4 linked regions of the Oryctolagus cuniculus genome follow. The protein of the gene in region 1 interacts with the protein of each later gene in a pairwise test. Links are inferred from orthologs where the notes say so. Each region holds a gene or a part of one and is shown in the gene's direction. Other genes may lie near its edges.

Region 1 (3,500 bases):
CTACACCGTGTTCACAGCACATCACCAGTATATGGTCATGAACTTAGGAGCTGTAAAGTCTACTTTCAGCCATGTTGTTTTCTTTGAAAAGTCTAGTGAGAAATGTTTAAATTCCAGGAGATGTTAATACTATGCTTTTGTTTGTGCATTCATGGAACACAAGTAGTATCTGGCACTCTATCAAGCGCTGTGAACAATCTGAAAGTAATAAAATACACAGCCCTTCACATTCAGTTGCTTAAGCCTGGACAGAACGACAAGAATGGCCAGCCCTAGGAAACATTGAGGAGTGAAGTTCTATTTGGTATCCCCAGTACGATGCCTTTTGTTCATGTTACTAAGTCGTGAAGTGATAATCATGCTCTGTGACTGTACTACTTCAGAAAAAAGTCAAAGAACTGTATGTGCTTTATAAAGCTAGTGCCACTTCTTCTTTCCCAGATTAACCCAACTGATACTCCCTGCATGAGACCTCAAATGGTTTTTCTGTTTCCAAGATTGAGTGGACTTGGACAAAACTTTGAAAGCCACATCACTATCTTAGTTCAGGCTGCTGTGACAGAATAACATGGACAAATCGACTTAAGCAACAATCATTTATTTCTCACAGTTCTGAAAATTGAAAGTCCAAGTTCAGAGTATTAGGTTCTGGTGATGGCCCTCGTCCTGGTTTATAGATGGCTGTCTCCTTATATCTTCATATAGAGAAAAAGAAAAAAACTCTCTCATATCTCTTCTTATTAGAGCACTAATCTTTATGAGGGTTCCATTCACATGGCCTAGTCATTTCCCAAAGGCCCCCAGTCCAAATAATATCATATGGGAATTAGGCTTCAACACATGGATTTGGAGCATGGATGGGGGAACACAAATATTCAGTCCAAGCAGTGGCAAAATCTAAGCTCTATACAGGGCTGGAGAACCTTTTTTCTACTAAGAGCTATTTGCATATTTATAACATCCTTTACAGGCCATACAAAATCATCAACTTAAAAATTAGCCTGCTATAGACTTACTGAATTTCAAGTCCCGAAAGCAGTTGCCTTGGCAGAGCCAGACCAAATGGTTTCATGGGCATTATCATTCCCTATCCTTGCAAGGGAACAAGTTTAACGACTGATTGTAGAGAATGGAAGGAGGGAAAAAACTTCCGGTATGAGTAAATAGAATGAAAGTAATTAATTGAAGAAAAAAGATGTTTGGAAGGTAGCTTATTAATAGCAATTTTCAGAGGAACTTACAATATTTTTAGTAAATAGAATATTTAATGCTTTTTGTACAAGGACTAAGTTATAAATTCCATATTTTCCTAGCAAAAATTAGAAGACTAATAAATCCAATATGAATGATTTGATACTTAATTTTTATAATTTTCCTAATAGGCAAAGAATGGACTTACTTTTTAGTCCCCTCTGAATGAAGGTGTAAATAAAAGAAACCCTATTCATTGTGCTTCACAATGAATAATATTCTTCAATTTATCTTTGTTCCCCCCATTTTTTAAAAGGAATTTAGAGCAAAATCAAGAGAATGGGATAAGCAAGAGATACTATATCAGACTCACCTAGTTTCTTTAGATGCTCAGCAAAAATTATTATCTGAGAAGTGTAATCAATTCCAGGTATGTTACTTAATAATAACCTCTGAATGTAAAGTTACATACTGGTGTCTTTGCCATTCAGCATGGAATCTATTTACAGATAGAAATGCTAACTAAGTGAAAATGAGTAGAGTAGAGCGGGTATAGTCACCAGTTCATGAACTATCTGTGATAGTGAATTTAGTCTACATACCTCAAGGGATGATGCTTTTTAAAATGTCATTGTCATTATGTCATTAGACAACACCTTTTGCATGCCTATGGACAATGTCCTAAGAGAATCTTGGATTGTTTGACTTGCTGACCAAATTTGTAAAAGACTAATCACCTCTTCTTATATGAGAGACTTCAAAAGCATGTGAAAAATGAAAAGATAAATATATTTCAATTCAAAAATCAAAATCTATGCAAAGTGTTTTCATAATACACAATTTTTGACGATGCCCTCATATTTCTTAGCCTTTTTCATTTCCTCTTCTGTGAATTGCCTCCATATATTCTGTCCATTTTTCTTCAGTGTTGTCTTTTTCTTATTGATATATAGAAGTTATTGTACATTAGCAATGATTAACGCCTGTTATTGCCTTCACAGCTGTTTCTCCATAATCCAGTTGTTTCTGTTTTCCTTTGCTTTAAATCAGAGAGACATTTTTCAACTATTGTGTAATTGAATTCATAATTTTCTTCTTTTACAGATTCTAGACTTTCATTCATGCTTAATAAAACTGGCCAATCTGTAGACCTTTCCATGCTCTAGATCTTTGCTTCAATGTTATACAAGCATATTTTCACTTCAACCATTTAATTGAGATTTCATAACAAAGAGAGACTTTATTATAAAAGGCCAACCTTTCCTATATAGTAACATACTTAAATGAGTTTTTGCCAGTTGTTTTCTATCATTCATGTAATGCTTAAATGTGATATTCTTCATTGAATTTAGAGTTTTTACATTTCTCAGAAACAGGCACAAAGTTACCAAACTCAACTAGATGGTAAAGCACAGAGCATAGAAGACAGCAGCTGTGAAATTCCTCGCTTGATATGTGACCCAGATCCCAGCTGTGAAACCAATGAGAGAGATGAATTCATTATTGCCAAACTAAAATCAGCTGTGAGTGAAATAGCACTAAGCAGGAATAAGTTACAAGATGAAAATCAGAAGCTCCTGCAAGAACTGAAAATGTACCAAAGACAGTGCCAGGTAAGAATATATTTTTTGTCATCCAACTAGTATCGTCCATGTTCTGTTTAATGATGACTCAACAGGTATAGGGATTATAGAAAGCTCATTTTCTACTATATGTGTAAATTCAGTCCATATTTCCTTAGTAAGTAATTCCCACTTGATGAAGAAAGTAGTTAATCTCATAGGTAGTTTGCCTCATCAGAGTGCACTTTGGTTCAATAATGACATCATATGCATTGAAAGTGAGTATAATAGATTCTCATACAGACTTCTATGCCTGAAAAACATGGCCCTTTAACCACACACCACCCTCTGTACCCTGTAATTTCTTTGACCCTATACCTCTCTGACTCAAGGAATCCTGGATGAGAGGTCCAGGAAATCATGACAAGTTCAACTAGTTAGTAACTTCAGGAAAAGGCATGGGAGTTACTCCCTGTGATTTATCACTGGTAACCTTATCATAATCATTTGACAAGCATTGGCCTCAAATGCATTCTGAGGTAACTTATATTATGACTGGTTGGTTCTCCAAGCATTAATTTTTTTTCTTGACCCAACAATCTTCTTTCTTTCTACTTCTTGCTGTAATTAAGAAGGTTATACACATTCAACAAAATTGATCATTACTTATTTTCTTACTAAAAATGAACACCTTGTTCATGAGTATCCAGCTACTTGATATATTCAATCAACATAGATATATTCTAG
Region 2 (4,244 bases), on another chromosome or scaffold:
ATTTTCTACAATCAGGTTGTAGCATTCACTAAGTGCTCATTAACGTTAGAAGGAAATACCTTTTTCTTTCATCGATTTTAGTTCACTAACTTTATTACCATGATGCAGTAAACGGCTTCATTGTTGAAATCACCCAGATTTCTTTTCCCTGACCTCTATTTATTAGTTATGCTCACCTATATATAATTTATGCCTCCCCTGACCTCAGAGAAAGGAGTAGGAAAACGCTTGAGAGGGTGCAATGTTTTGGGTTTCCTATTGCTGCCATAACAATTTACTATAAATTTAGCAGCTTAAAAAAAAAACTTACTATCTTATGCTTCTGTAAGAAACCCAAAAGGAGCTAAATGGGGCTAAAATCCACATGCCAGCAGTACTGCATTTTTCTGGAGGCTGCAGAGGAGAATCCATTTCCCTGCCTTTTCCAGTGTCTAGAACCTCCCGCATTCCTTGGTTCACTGCCACACATCACGCTGATCTTTACTGGTCATCAATCTTCTTTTCTAAGTCTGATCCTCTCACCTTCCTCTTACAATTATGAGAACCCTGTGGTTCATAATCCAGAACCATCTCCCCACGCCAAGACCTTAATCTAAGGCAAAATTGTTTTTGCCTTGTCAAGTTACGTGCACAGAACAGGGATTAGGATATGGACATCTTTTGGATGGCATTATTTGGTCTACCACAAGGAGTGCCACTTGGTCCATCCTGTCCCCAAAGCAGAAAGTCTCATAGAAGGATCTGCTTTGGAAAAGTAGGAACACATTCCCTGGGAACTGAAAGAAAAGGGCAGTAAATGTAAGACAGCATTTTACAGTGTGTGGGAATGAGGTTCTTTTTCTGAGGAAGATTGAGGAGCACACAGGGGCTTTGAAAGGGGTGGACACGCTGCTCTGCGAGGTGAGAAAACCCCACTAAGAAGATAAAGCAGACTGCTTTCCTAAGGGCCCGAGATGTGGTAGTCTCCTGGGAAGGACTCTCTGAGGACATGCCAGTCACCATGCACATGAAGATTACTCCCAGCTCCAAAACGCTCACTTCACTGCTATTGCACATTTGCAAACAGCGCAACTGTAGCGTCAGAATTAACGTGGCTCTACCACCTTTTCGGTATGCCCTTGTTTTCTGCTTTGCAGGATTCCTCCAGCATGAAACCTGACACTAATTAGGCTAGCCCCAAGTAGGAAAATAAAGATGATGAACCACAACCCACTCTGGAGATAAACCAAGGAAAACGGATCTCTGCCCAAAAGAACAACAGTGAAAAATCGTATTTGCCAAGGGGCTATCTACTAAGAGTTTAAATTTTTAGAAGAACAAAACGTGGAGAGTCTGATAAGATCTGCCAGCTACTGCTGTTTTCTCAGATATTTGCCAGGGCCACAGCCACTGAAGCTTGGGTGGATTTCTCTCTTGCTGTGTCATAAGATGTTCCTCTCCCCACCCCCACCTCCTCCCTCCTGCTGCCTCCACCAGTGCCTGTGTGTGTGTGTGTGCGCGCGCACGAGTGTGTATTTGGTTTCTCTCTCCCCTGTAAGAACACAGTCCGCCCGCCTTCTCCTGCTGTTGCTGCCGCTCTGACTTGCTCTTTGCTGCTGCTTTCCTCTCTTTCTCTTCCTGCTTAAGCTCCCTGCCTTCTGGTAAGTATGACAAACACTCCCCCAAGCCCTGTGAGATGTAGGGAGTGGTTTGTGGTGCTCGAAACTTGCAACTTTGAGACTGCCAGTGAACTGTTGAAGAACTTTCCATTGTTGCATTTATAATTAAAATGTGTGGCTCAGGAAGGGATGTGTGAGTGCTGGGACTGCCAGCACAAGTGAAATATGCTCTCAGAGGAGGGGAGGAAAGGGCAACACAGTTCACATAGATGAAAGTGAAAATTAAATTCTTTGACATAAAAATAATTTATATAAAAGGGTCCTTTAAAACTAACAATGTTTTTTCCTCTTGTTGATTTGTCTTGAGTCTACTTTTAGAAATTGAGTTGTCCTGTGGTTAATGACTCAGTTATTCTGCCTTAAAGTAAATGTGGAAAAGGAGTTTAAAGAATATTTGTGGAATTAAAGACATCAATGATAATGACATCTGAAGAATGAAGAATAAATCAAATACAAACAAAACATGTGCATGTAGACTAACCACAGTAAAACTCCATACACAGTCGGTTTTAAATTCTTGATTGAAATTCGCTTTCATTTTGATTTGATTTGATTTGATTCTAATATGGGTTCCCAACATTTTAAAACTCACATATGGTCTTAAGTCACTAAATACATACTGTTTTAATTTGATTTAAAAATTATTCTCTTGAATGCCCAAGGATGACGTGCTAAATGCCATGACTCATTTTAGAATAGCTTAAAATAACTTCTGACTGGACAGCAGGTGCCATGTGTCTTTGAGTTTAGAGGAAGCATAAGTTATATATAGATGAGTGTGCCTAACAAGTGGAGATCAAGATCAAGAGATTCCAATGAGGAAAACAAAGAAGCTGTCTACTACATACATTATCTGATCATCAAATTGGTGAATTAAAATTGGTGAAAGAAAAAAAGAACTTCCTTCTAACTTAATGAGTACTTGGTGAGAGCAACAAGTAGGTGGCAATGTCTAAGCTCTGGCTTTTCCTTTCTCGCTGGTGTCCAAACATCTGACACCCACTGCCCTGAGAATGAGGGAAGGGGGCTGTGCCGTTGATACAAGAGTATGTTTTTGTTCTCACTTTCACATGACCATAGCAGCAAAACCTATGAATGATGAGGATCGTGCCATATTTTATGGTCATAAGTAGCATCATCAGCATTAAATATTATTTACAGATAAAATGTTCCATCACTTAATGAACTAACACAAACTGATTGCAAATCTAGAAATGGTAGTAGCCAGACACCCTACAGTAATCTTCCACACAACTTTGTTCCTCACTCCTCATTTCTTAAGAACTTGTGTTATACTTACATTATTTTCCTAGTTCATTCCTTCCCTGCTTTTTTACTTGATATATAATAAAAATGATTGGCCGACGCCATGGCTCACTAGGGTAATCCTACGCCTAGCGGCGCCGGCACACCAGGTTCTAGTCCCGGTCGGGGAGCCGGATTCTGTCCCGGTTGCCCCTCTTCCAGGCCAGCTCTCTGCTGTGGCCAGGGAGTGCAGTGGAGGATGGCCCAAGTGCTTGGGCCCTGCACCCCATGGGAGACCAGGAGAAGTACCTGGCTCCTGCCATCGGATCAGCGCGGTGCGCCGGCCGCAGCGCCAGTCGCAGCGGCCACTGGAGGGTGAACCAAAGGCAAAGGAAGACCTTTCTCTCTGTCTCTCTCTCTCTCTCACTGTCCACGCTGCCTGTAAAAAAAAAAAAAAAAAAAAAAAAAAAAAATTATTAAGTTTCCCTAGAGTTACTTGCCTTGGAATAGAAAGTGATAATCTGCTTTCTTCTAAAAGAAAGCCGATTTTTATAGAGGAATAAAAAGTTATTGTAGAAATTTAAGAAATTGCTATTATTATAAGCATTACCATGTTTCCATATTGGTTGGTTTATTTACACCTTCCCTTATTCCACGTCTTATTACAAAAATGATGCTAGAATGAATTTCAGGAAAAATATTTTTGCTGATTGACAATTAATAACATGTTGCTCATCTGGGAAAAAGAAAATACTAGAAAGGCAAGAATATCTCCTGAATCACTAGAATAATTCATTTACATCCAACCATCTGTACTAATCAACTCTTTACTTACAGGTCAATATAAAGTTAGGGGCATTATTGTTATGAATCATTTAAAGTTAATTGGCTATTGTATTAAGTAATTTAACTTTGAATGAAAACTAATACCACTTAAAATTAAACATATGAAATGTATATACCTGTGTACTTCCAATGATTGTGAATCTACACATATTCATAAAAGAAAATGGTAACATTGGATCTTCTAAGCAAATGACAAATATGTCACGAAAAACAATACTTTGGTAATGTTAATAATAAGGTATACTGAAAACTAAAACCATAAATATGCTAGTAGTATGACTCCATCTGGAAAAATGGCTTCCCACTGTTTCTACCTAACTAATTGTAACAGCAATGATTTGTAAAAGTACATTCACTCTATGTTAGAAACCATAATTAGTTGATGCTCAATTTGCTCACATAACTTAGTGAACTACACAAAACCTAACTATGCTTACCACTTGATACTACACACAGTATGGAGATTAATCACGCTGAACAGCTCTCAGCAGAACA
Region 3 (4,055 bases), on another chromosome or scaffold:
CTGCAGCGCCAGCATCCCATATGGACACCGGTTTGAGTCCTGGCTGCTCCACTTCCAATCCAGCTCCCTGCTAATGCACCTTGTAAAGCAGTGGAAGATGGCCCAAGTGCTTGGGTTCCTGTACCCGCACGGGAGACCAGGAAGAAGCTCCTGGCTCCTGCCTTCAGATCAGCCCAGCTCCGACCATTTTGGCCATTTGGGAAGTGACACCCAGTGGATGGAAGATATCAAGATCTCTCTCTCTTCTCTCTGTAACTCTGCCTTTCAAATAAATAAACAAATCTTAAAAAAAAAAAAAGCACAAAGCGCAGACAAAACATTTCAAAGAGTTTAAAATGCTAATATTAAATTTCATTCTGAGACAAAATTAGATTGAGAACAAATTCAAGGGTGAAAGATTTACAATAGATTAAGAAGGGAAATTAAGGATAAGTGTGTGGGGGTACACCCGCATCTTGGTGATTCACATCATGGAGATACACGATATGCTCTAAAGAAATGGGGTACTTGGTCATGTGGATTGGATGGACGCAACCACATTCCCTAAACACGTCTGTCAGTCAGTATCTAGGCTTTCACTGTCAGAAAGTGAGAGTTACGGATTAAAACAGGATTCGATCCTTGGCGTTTCATTCACAGCACAAATCCTTTAAAAGTATTCAGTCAACAGAGGAGGGAGACTCCTGAACCCACTGTCACATGTTGAACAGTTAGGGAGCGTGGGTTAACTGAGTCCTTCATAGGGAGAAAAAAAAAAAAAAAAACTCCGGACCTAAACGGAACCGGAACGAGGAAGGGGTGGCTATCACCGAAGTGTCACTGAGTTGGGTGTCGTTAAAAATGGGTCACAACCAACAAGGTCAAAGATTTATGTTTATAAATACACACTATGGCCCTCCTTACAAATAATAGCAGACTCCGGGATCTCATTTCCCCAGAAGAAAACAGCCCCCGTGCCTCCTTCCCGTGGGTCGCTTTCTTTACCTGCTTCTTCCCTCTCGTGGGTAGGAACTTTCTGCCCCGCCTCCCGGCTCGCTCAAGCTCCGCCTTCCCGGCCCACCTGGGTGCCCAGCCCCTGACGTTACCGTTCGGCTTCAGCATCCTACAGGATTCCGGCTCCCGATTGGCCCGTCTGTTCACGGCTGGCGCAGCCCACCAATGGCAGCTGCGCTGGGTGGGCGGGTGCCCACATCCAAGATGGCGCCCCCAGGAGCTGGGAGCGGGTGACCGGCGACGGGGAAGCGGCCTGGGTTGGCCCTCAGATTGCGGGGTCTCGGGGGCGTCTCGTCGGGCACCCCCTGACCCACCTACAAGGCCTTCCCCGGGCCAGAGCAATGGCCGCCGAGAACAGCAAGCAGTTTTGGAAGAGGAGCGCCAAGCTGCCGGGGAGGTGAGCCCAGGACGCTGAGAGGGAGCCGGGATTGGACCAAACCCTTCCAAATCCTAATCCCTAAATCTTGCGACTGATGTGGGGACCCCAGGACCGAGCAGTCAGGGCTGCCTGGTAGCGGCAGGGCGGCTGTCAGGCAGAGGAGCGGGGACGGCTGGGTGTGAGGTACAGACCGGGGTCTGAGGGCGGAGGTCTCAGGAGAGGTGACCTCAGCTGGGGGGTGGCCGACGACCGGGCACAGGGGGCAGAGGAGTTGAGGGAGAACCCCGTGTCGCCCCCGGGGCTTGGGGGGCCATTCCCAGAGCCACTTCCCACTTTGAAGAGAACTCCTCGGGGGTCTCCAGCATGCACAGGTGGTTGCTTACTCGAGGGTGGCCCCTTCCTTGGCTCCCCCAGCTCCTCAGGTGCAAATCTTCTCCCAAAGGGTTCTGGTGGGAGCTTGGGGCCGCCTGCGAGGAAAGGGGTCGGGGCGGGGGGTGGGGGTCCAGGAAAAGTGAGAGCAGTTCTGCAGCCTGACCCCACTTTATCTTGAGTTGACCCTTTCCCGTCAAGGATTTCTTACAGGGAGACCACAGAGTCGGTGTTTTTCTCTAGCATTTTCTAGGGATTTGTCCAACTCCAAGTGACCTCTTCCCCCCACCCCCTGCATTGTAATGGTCTTCTTGTGCACACACACTGAATTCTTTCATTCTTCAGTGGTTTCGTGGAGGGCAGACCTTCTAAGCGATTTTTTTTTTTTTCCATTTTGGCATGTGTTGAGACTTTTTAGCAGTTGTCCATCCCCCAATCTGCCGTTAGTTGACAGTTTGGGTTGTTTTGGGCTGAGTCCTTAGAAGTCTAAGGAGGAAAGTGTGTTTCAATTGTGAATTTAAGATTTCTGCCAGCCACAGTCCAGTTGGTGATGAAATTCACGTTTGGCTGTGCCCTCCCCTGCCACCTTTCCTAATTGATTCAGTTCTTTTCTTTCTGGGATAATTGGTAATTCTTTGAACTTATGACTGAGTATTTTCCTCTAAAGCAAAGAGAAATGAACAGTCCGTAGTGTCTTGGCAGTCTTACCTTATTTAGGATCCTATTAAACATATGGGAAATGGAGTGGGGATCAGCTTTTAGTAATACATATTAATAGAAGGCAATGCAAAGACAGCCTCAGATTAACATGGAAATTACACTGGAATGACTGTTAATATCGTGTTAAAGATGTTGTGTGTCTTTAGATAAGCATCGCTTCCTGCCACCTGATTTCTTTTCCTTCCTGATCTAGTGAACTCTCCAGTTATGCTAAATGCTGTTCTCTGGGGTTTTCCATCATGAGATCATTAAATTTTGATGTCCTAAGGTTATAATGAGACTCAGCAGGAAAACTGTTCCAACAGGAAGCAGTGCAGGAGATGAGGGACATGGCATGGTCCTTTGTGCCTTCTGACACTGGTTGCTGTTCACTGGCTTCTGTTTAATACTGAAACAGTCAACTTTTCTAAAGCACTATGTGAGATAGGAAGAGGAGTCTTTTTTTTTTTTTTTAAAGAAAGATTTTATTCATTTATTTATTTGAGAGGTAGAGTTACAGACCGAAAGAGGGAGAGACAGAGAGAGAGGTCTTCCATCCACTGGTTCACTCCCCAAATGGCCGCAACAACTTGGAGCTGAGCTGATCTGAAGCCAGGAGCCTGGAGCTTCTTCCAGGTCTGCCACGTGGGCGCAGGGGCCCAAGCACTTGGGCTCTGGGAGAGGAGTCTTCATTTCTTCAAGTGTCTGACTCTTCCATTTTGAAGAATACAGAAGGGAAGAGGAGAGAACCTTAGGGTTTAAAAAGCCTTGGCTCATTATTTGAACTCTCTTACCTGTGTGTCAAAGACAAATGATTGACATCCAGGCCTCTGTTTCCTTATCTGTGAAATGAGAAATAAAAATACTTCCCTCAGGGTTCCTGGGATTACTAATAAAATACCCTATTTGTAAAGAACCTAGGACCGTTTATTTAACACATTATAGTTGCTCAGTATTGCTGTTTCTAGAGCAAGTAATTGTTGAAAAGAATATTGCTCAGATCCCTTACCCCAGCCCTAGTTCAAGTCTTCATTCTTTGTTCTAACCATAAAATACTGGCACAATTCATACTAGCTTTTAGTACTTTGATTGTTGAAGAGAAATATGGTTCAGCTGTGTGCCTTTATCTGCGAGGCCCCAGGAGCTCCTGATTATGGGAGAAAACTACCCAGGCATCTTGTAGATGGAAAGGTGCCTTGATGAAAGGAAAATGTTAGAGCATTTTCTCAATATAACTTTTTTTTTTTAAGATTTATGTATTTATTTGAAAGTCAGAGTTACACATAGAGAGAAGGAGAGGCAGAGAGAGAGAGAGGTTCTCCATCCTCTGGTTCCCTCCCTCAGTTGGCCACAACTGCCGGAGCTGCACTATCTTAAGCCAGGAGCTTCTTCCAGGTCTCCCACTTGGGTGCAGGGGCCCAAAAACGTGGGCCATCTTCTACTGCCTTCCCAGGCCACAACAGAGAGCTGGATTGCAAGTGGAGCAGTCGGGACTTGAACCAACGTCCATATGGGATGCCAGCACTGCAGACAGCGGCTTTACCTGCCACAACATAGTGCCGGCCCCCAATATATCTTTTGACTCTTCACTTGATCTTAGCCAAAAAGCCAAGAA
Region 4 (4,137 bases), on another chromosome or scaffold:
ATATGGTGCTGGTTCGAGTCTCAGCGGCTTCACTTCCAATCCAGTTCCCTGCTAGCACTCCTGGGAGGGCAGCAGAAGATGGCACAAGTTGTTGGCCCCTTGCACCCACATGGGAGACCCAGATGAAGCTCCTGGCTTCAGACTGGCCCGGCTCTGCCATTGCAGCCTCTGGGGAGTGAACCGACAGATGGAGGACCTCTCTCTCTCTGTCTCTCCTTCTGTCTGTCTGTGACTCTACCTTTCAAGTAAATGAATGAGTCCTTAAAAAAAATCTTAGAAATATATCAATGAGTTCTAACATCCAAAAGGTGCAATAACCTTTTTAAACCTGTTTATGTGGATACTAGCTGTTAATATCTCATTGTTTTTTCAACTGCTCCTTTGAAAGTCTTGACAGAAAGGTTAGCAAAAGCAATAGGAAAAGAGACCTTTCCAATTGTAGTGAACACTCAATTTTATATATATATTATTTATATATATATAGAATATATATATATATATATAGAGAGAGAGAGAGAGAGAGCACCTAAATAGATGTTGAATGGGGTGGCTAAAATGGGTAATTTGATCATTTTCCTGGGATAAAGCAGATATTGCTTCTTCTGAAATCTTTGTGTTTGTTCCACTTTCTCCTCCTCAATCTCCACTGTGGCCCTGCCTTCCTCCCAGAGCTAAGCTCCCCTTTATTTTGGACCACACTATCACACACATGATTGAGTCAACAATTTATGGCTTTTAAAAATAGGGATTTCGTCCTCTCTTAGGTTTATTGTTTATCATAATCATCTTTCAAGTGAAAAGGCTAATTTACTCTTTCTATAGGAATATTTTAAGCTTGATTATCATAATATTACCGCTGCCTGAAAAGGTCTAAAACGGGACATTGACCTTGAATGTTTTCTGCATTTAGCTTGCAGTGCTTAACATTCAGGAAAGAATATGACTGCAACTCATTTATTAATGTATAATCTCAAAATGTTAACTATTGCTCTGTAAATACATGCCACACAGATTATAGAAACCTTGTAGGACGCCATAAAACACACTTGATATTATACTAGGATGAGGATGTTAGAAATACAACATAACTGAAGTCAGTTGTCCCATTGGAGCTACTGTAGTTTGTAATTTAATTTTTACTGACATTTCACCATGTATATTATTAGCTTGACAAAATGAAAGTGAAATAATCCTGAATTAATTAAACAGGAGCCGAATTGCTTCTCTTAGTTTTTCTGTCACTGATTATTTATTCTTCCACTTTCACAAAAACACCGGGAAACGAGTTGGTGTATTATGGAGGAGAGACGATTGCTCCCCAGGGAATGGGCTTTTTTTTTTTTTTTTTTTTGAGACTCCATAATTTGGGAATGGGATGGATTTATAGGACAAGCGCTGTATCAAAAGGAAAGATTTTTATGAGTGCTTCTGTGGAAGTGATCACTTTCAGTAGAAATGATTGCTTCTTGCCAATGGAGACAATAATTTAAATATCAAAGCCTGTGCCCTAGAAATGAAAGGCAACAGAAAATGAGGTATGATGAATTGATAGAGGTTTGGTGGTAATACAAAGTAGCCACCCTGACTTCCAAAGAAGTCTGCCTGTGCTCAGTGGGAAAGGTATGTTCCTAAGTAGGTTTATGGCCCAGCAGAAATTCCAGTTTGCAGATGAGGAGACAGGGGACTAGAAAGCGAGGAGCCCAGGCCACAAAGGCTGGCATCTGGCCCTTTTCACCTGTGCTGTAAGGTTTTTTTTCTTAGCGACTGAACGATGGGTTTCCCCTCAGAGTGAAACGCATTAGATTGAAGTAGTCCTGGCTTGCTTTCTGTAGTAAGATAACACTACACAGGCTATATCAAAGACATCAGAGACAGTGGTTCAAAAAATTCAACAGCGTTTCAAAGGTTTGATGATCTTGAGGAAAAATCTGGAAGGCAGATTTACAAGGCAATTTAAACCTCAGAATTTTTAAAAACTGGCTTAGTTTTAAAGTGTTCAGCAAATAGCCAATGTGCAGTAGGGGAGGGAACTTCAAAAAGTTCATGGAAATTGACTTAAAAGATAAGTTTATTTTGGTACAAAAATATTTGAAATTCAGGCATTTTTTTTCTTGTAATAAGTATTTTCCAAGAATTTTTTTGAAGACCTCCTTACAAAATCTAAATCTGCTTCAAAAATGACTATAGTAAGCTTAAAATATTTTAATATGGATTAGTTTTCTTAATTTTCAGAAAAGGAGCATGAGAGCTATAAAGAGCTAATAGTTTGCAGTCATAGCAACTCTTAGCATTTCACACCACTTTGTGTAGTAACATAAAAATTCATTGCTAGTATGTTTTAGGCAATGATTCTGACTAACATACAGTAAGATGCATAGTATGTGCAACTCCTAGGAATCTACCTTTTGTTTCACTTGAGTTTTGCTTGTGGCCGCTCCTTTCTTTCAAGTGGAAATGAAGTGCACTATCTCTTTGTATCTGTGCCTTACCTGGGAACTGAGAAGAAGTTGTTCAGATACTTGTGACTGCAGTGTTTAGGGAAGAGAGTGAAACTATGTCTAGCCTGAGGGTCTGATGCATGATAGACTGATAGTAACTAATCTACTAATATTCTTTTTGAACCAGTCAAAAGAAGTTCTTTTGTTTGATTCCATTTTTCCTGATTTGGGTAGACTCCTTGTGGTAAGACTGTGAAGTGTATGGACATTTAGCAATATGAGCTTATTCTAGTCTGTTTATCTTTTTGATTGCTTTTTTTCCCCCCCAAATCCTCTGTAGTTGAATTTCTTGAAGGCTGAAGCTCAATATGACTTGTGCTGGCTTTCTTTTCCTAGGAGTCTCTATTCCTTTCTCTTTCAAGGTGAGGAACTTCTGTGATTAAGGAAGGTTCTTGAGATACTGTGCTGTGTGTTTATGAAATATTCTTGAAGCTGTCTCGAAAGTTCAGTGTAGTGGATATTATTTTAAATTTTAAATTGGTTAAACTGGATTCAGGATTGTACGTGTAATCTTAGGCCCTTGACTTGTACAGGTGACATTTTGATCCCTGGGGGAAAACATCCCGTTCTACAAATCTAATGCACTTCTGGTCGTTGAGAAAGCGGCAGGCTCAGTGAACACGGCACCTTCGGAGATGAAATATGGTCAGCGGAAGATCAGTGGGGGCGGCACTGTACAAGTGCGTACATGTGTCTCTGGGCACAGAAGAAAGACGCGTGCATGAATATGAGTCTAAATATGTTTAAAAATACACACCGAGGAAATCAAATGAGTCGCAGTAAAAGCAAAAATACCCCGAAAAGGAAATAAGAAAATTCTGGGGAATAAAATATCGCCTCTATAAAATATGATGACTTAAGGCCATCAGTAAATAATTGACTACAAATCTTGCCTTTAAACAGCCATTTCAAAGGAGGAATAGCCAGGTTCTGTCACAGCATGATAATGCAAAGAGACTGAATACAATACGAGATTCTTCCGCACAGGTACAAGATCGGAGTGCATGTGTTGAGTCCATTAAGATATGTTGAGTACATTAAATAATTTTTTTATCATTTTAAGAAATTATGCTGGACAAAAATAAGAGATTTTTTTGGTATATCTTTTTTTAAAAATGTACAATCACGTTTATTAATTACCTTGAAGATTTTAGTGTATTCAGAAATCAAGAGGAACAGGAAACAAAGATGTTTTTCTGTTGAATGCAGTATTAGCTTCCATATTTCTCTGTATTTTAGAAAAGTCATGCTTCTTTTTCAAAATGCCTTTTTATTTATTTTTGAAATTGTCAAAGAATTACATGTCTCCTTTTCGATTGAATACACAGATCTTTTTCTTCCCCCACCCCGAGTGTCTGCAGAATGCTTGGATTTTCTTCTGCATCTCCAAGCTCTTTTAATTCACTGCTCACAACCAAATTTACATCTTAATTGCAGAGTTCACATTTAACAATATAGACAGCATAATGCTACTGGTAATTAAGCTTTTACTACCTGCTTTTATACAGTATTCTCAAGCACAGTTTTAGCTATGTGAGTTGGGATCTAGAAACTTGTCTGCATTTAGACCACAAATAAAAGGAAATCGGGCCTGTATCTTAGATATAGCTAAGTGCATGGCAGGGAAATGGCTTTCTTC

What was found. The genes of interacting proteins can lie anywhere in the genome.
Region 2: the proteins of DEUP1 (region 1) and TXLNB interact in binary tests that used the Homo sapiens proteins (3 or more experiments, as listed by UniProt). The two-hybrid records come from large-scale screens. The link is inferred for Oryctolagus cuniculus from reciprocal best matches to the Homo sapiens genes DEUP1 and TXLNB.
Region 3: the proteins of DEUP1 (region 1) and TBC1D22B interact in binary tests that used the Homo sapiens proteins (3 or more experiments, as listed by UniProt). The link is inferred for Oryctolagus cuniculus from reciprocal best matches to the Homo sapiens genes DEUP1 and TBC1D22B.
Region 4: the proteins of DEUP1 (region 1) and ESRRG interact in binary tests that used the Homo sapiens proteins (3 or more experiments, as listed by UniProt). The two-hybrid records come from large-scale screens. The link is inferred for Oryctolagus cuniculus from reciprocal best matches to the Homo sapiens genes DEUP1 and ESRRG.

Annotation. Positions count from the first base shown.
Region 1 is NC_091432.1:84,562,668-84,566,167, forward strand, and holds part of DEUP1 (deuterosome assembly protein 1), read left to right. Parts: intron 1-1,507; coding exon 1,508-1,621; intron 1,622-2,561; coding exon 2,562-2,804; intron 2,805-3,500. UniProt on the Homo sapiens protein: Key structural component of the deuterosome, a structure that promotes de novo centriole amplification in multiciliated cells.
Region 2 is NC_091436.1:29,550,163-29,554,406, forward strand, and holds the start of TXLNB (beta-taxilin), read left to right. Parts: upstream 1-1,444; 5' UTR 1,445-1,640; intron 1,641-4,205; 5' UTR 4,206-4,206; coding exon 4,207-4,244. UniProt on the Homo sapiens protein: Promotes motor nerve regeneration. May be involved in intracellular vesicle traffic.
Region 3 is NC_091436.1:132,390,660-132,394,714, reverse strand, and holds the start of TBC1D22B (TBC1 domain family member 22B), read left to right. Parts: upstream 1-1,255; 5' UTR 1,256-1,334; coding exon 1,335-1,390; intron 1,391-4,055. UniProt on the Homo sapiens protein: May act as a GTPase-activating protein for Rab family protein(s).
Region 4 is NC_091444.1:30,982,355-30,986,491, reverse strand, and holds the start of ESRRG (estrogen-related receptor gamma), read left to right. Parts: upstream 1-1,337; 5' UTR 1,338-4,137. UniProt on the Homo sapiens protein: Orphan receptor that acts as a transcription activator in the absence of bound ligand. Binds specifically to an estrogen response element and activates reporter genes controlled by estrogen response elements.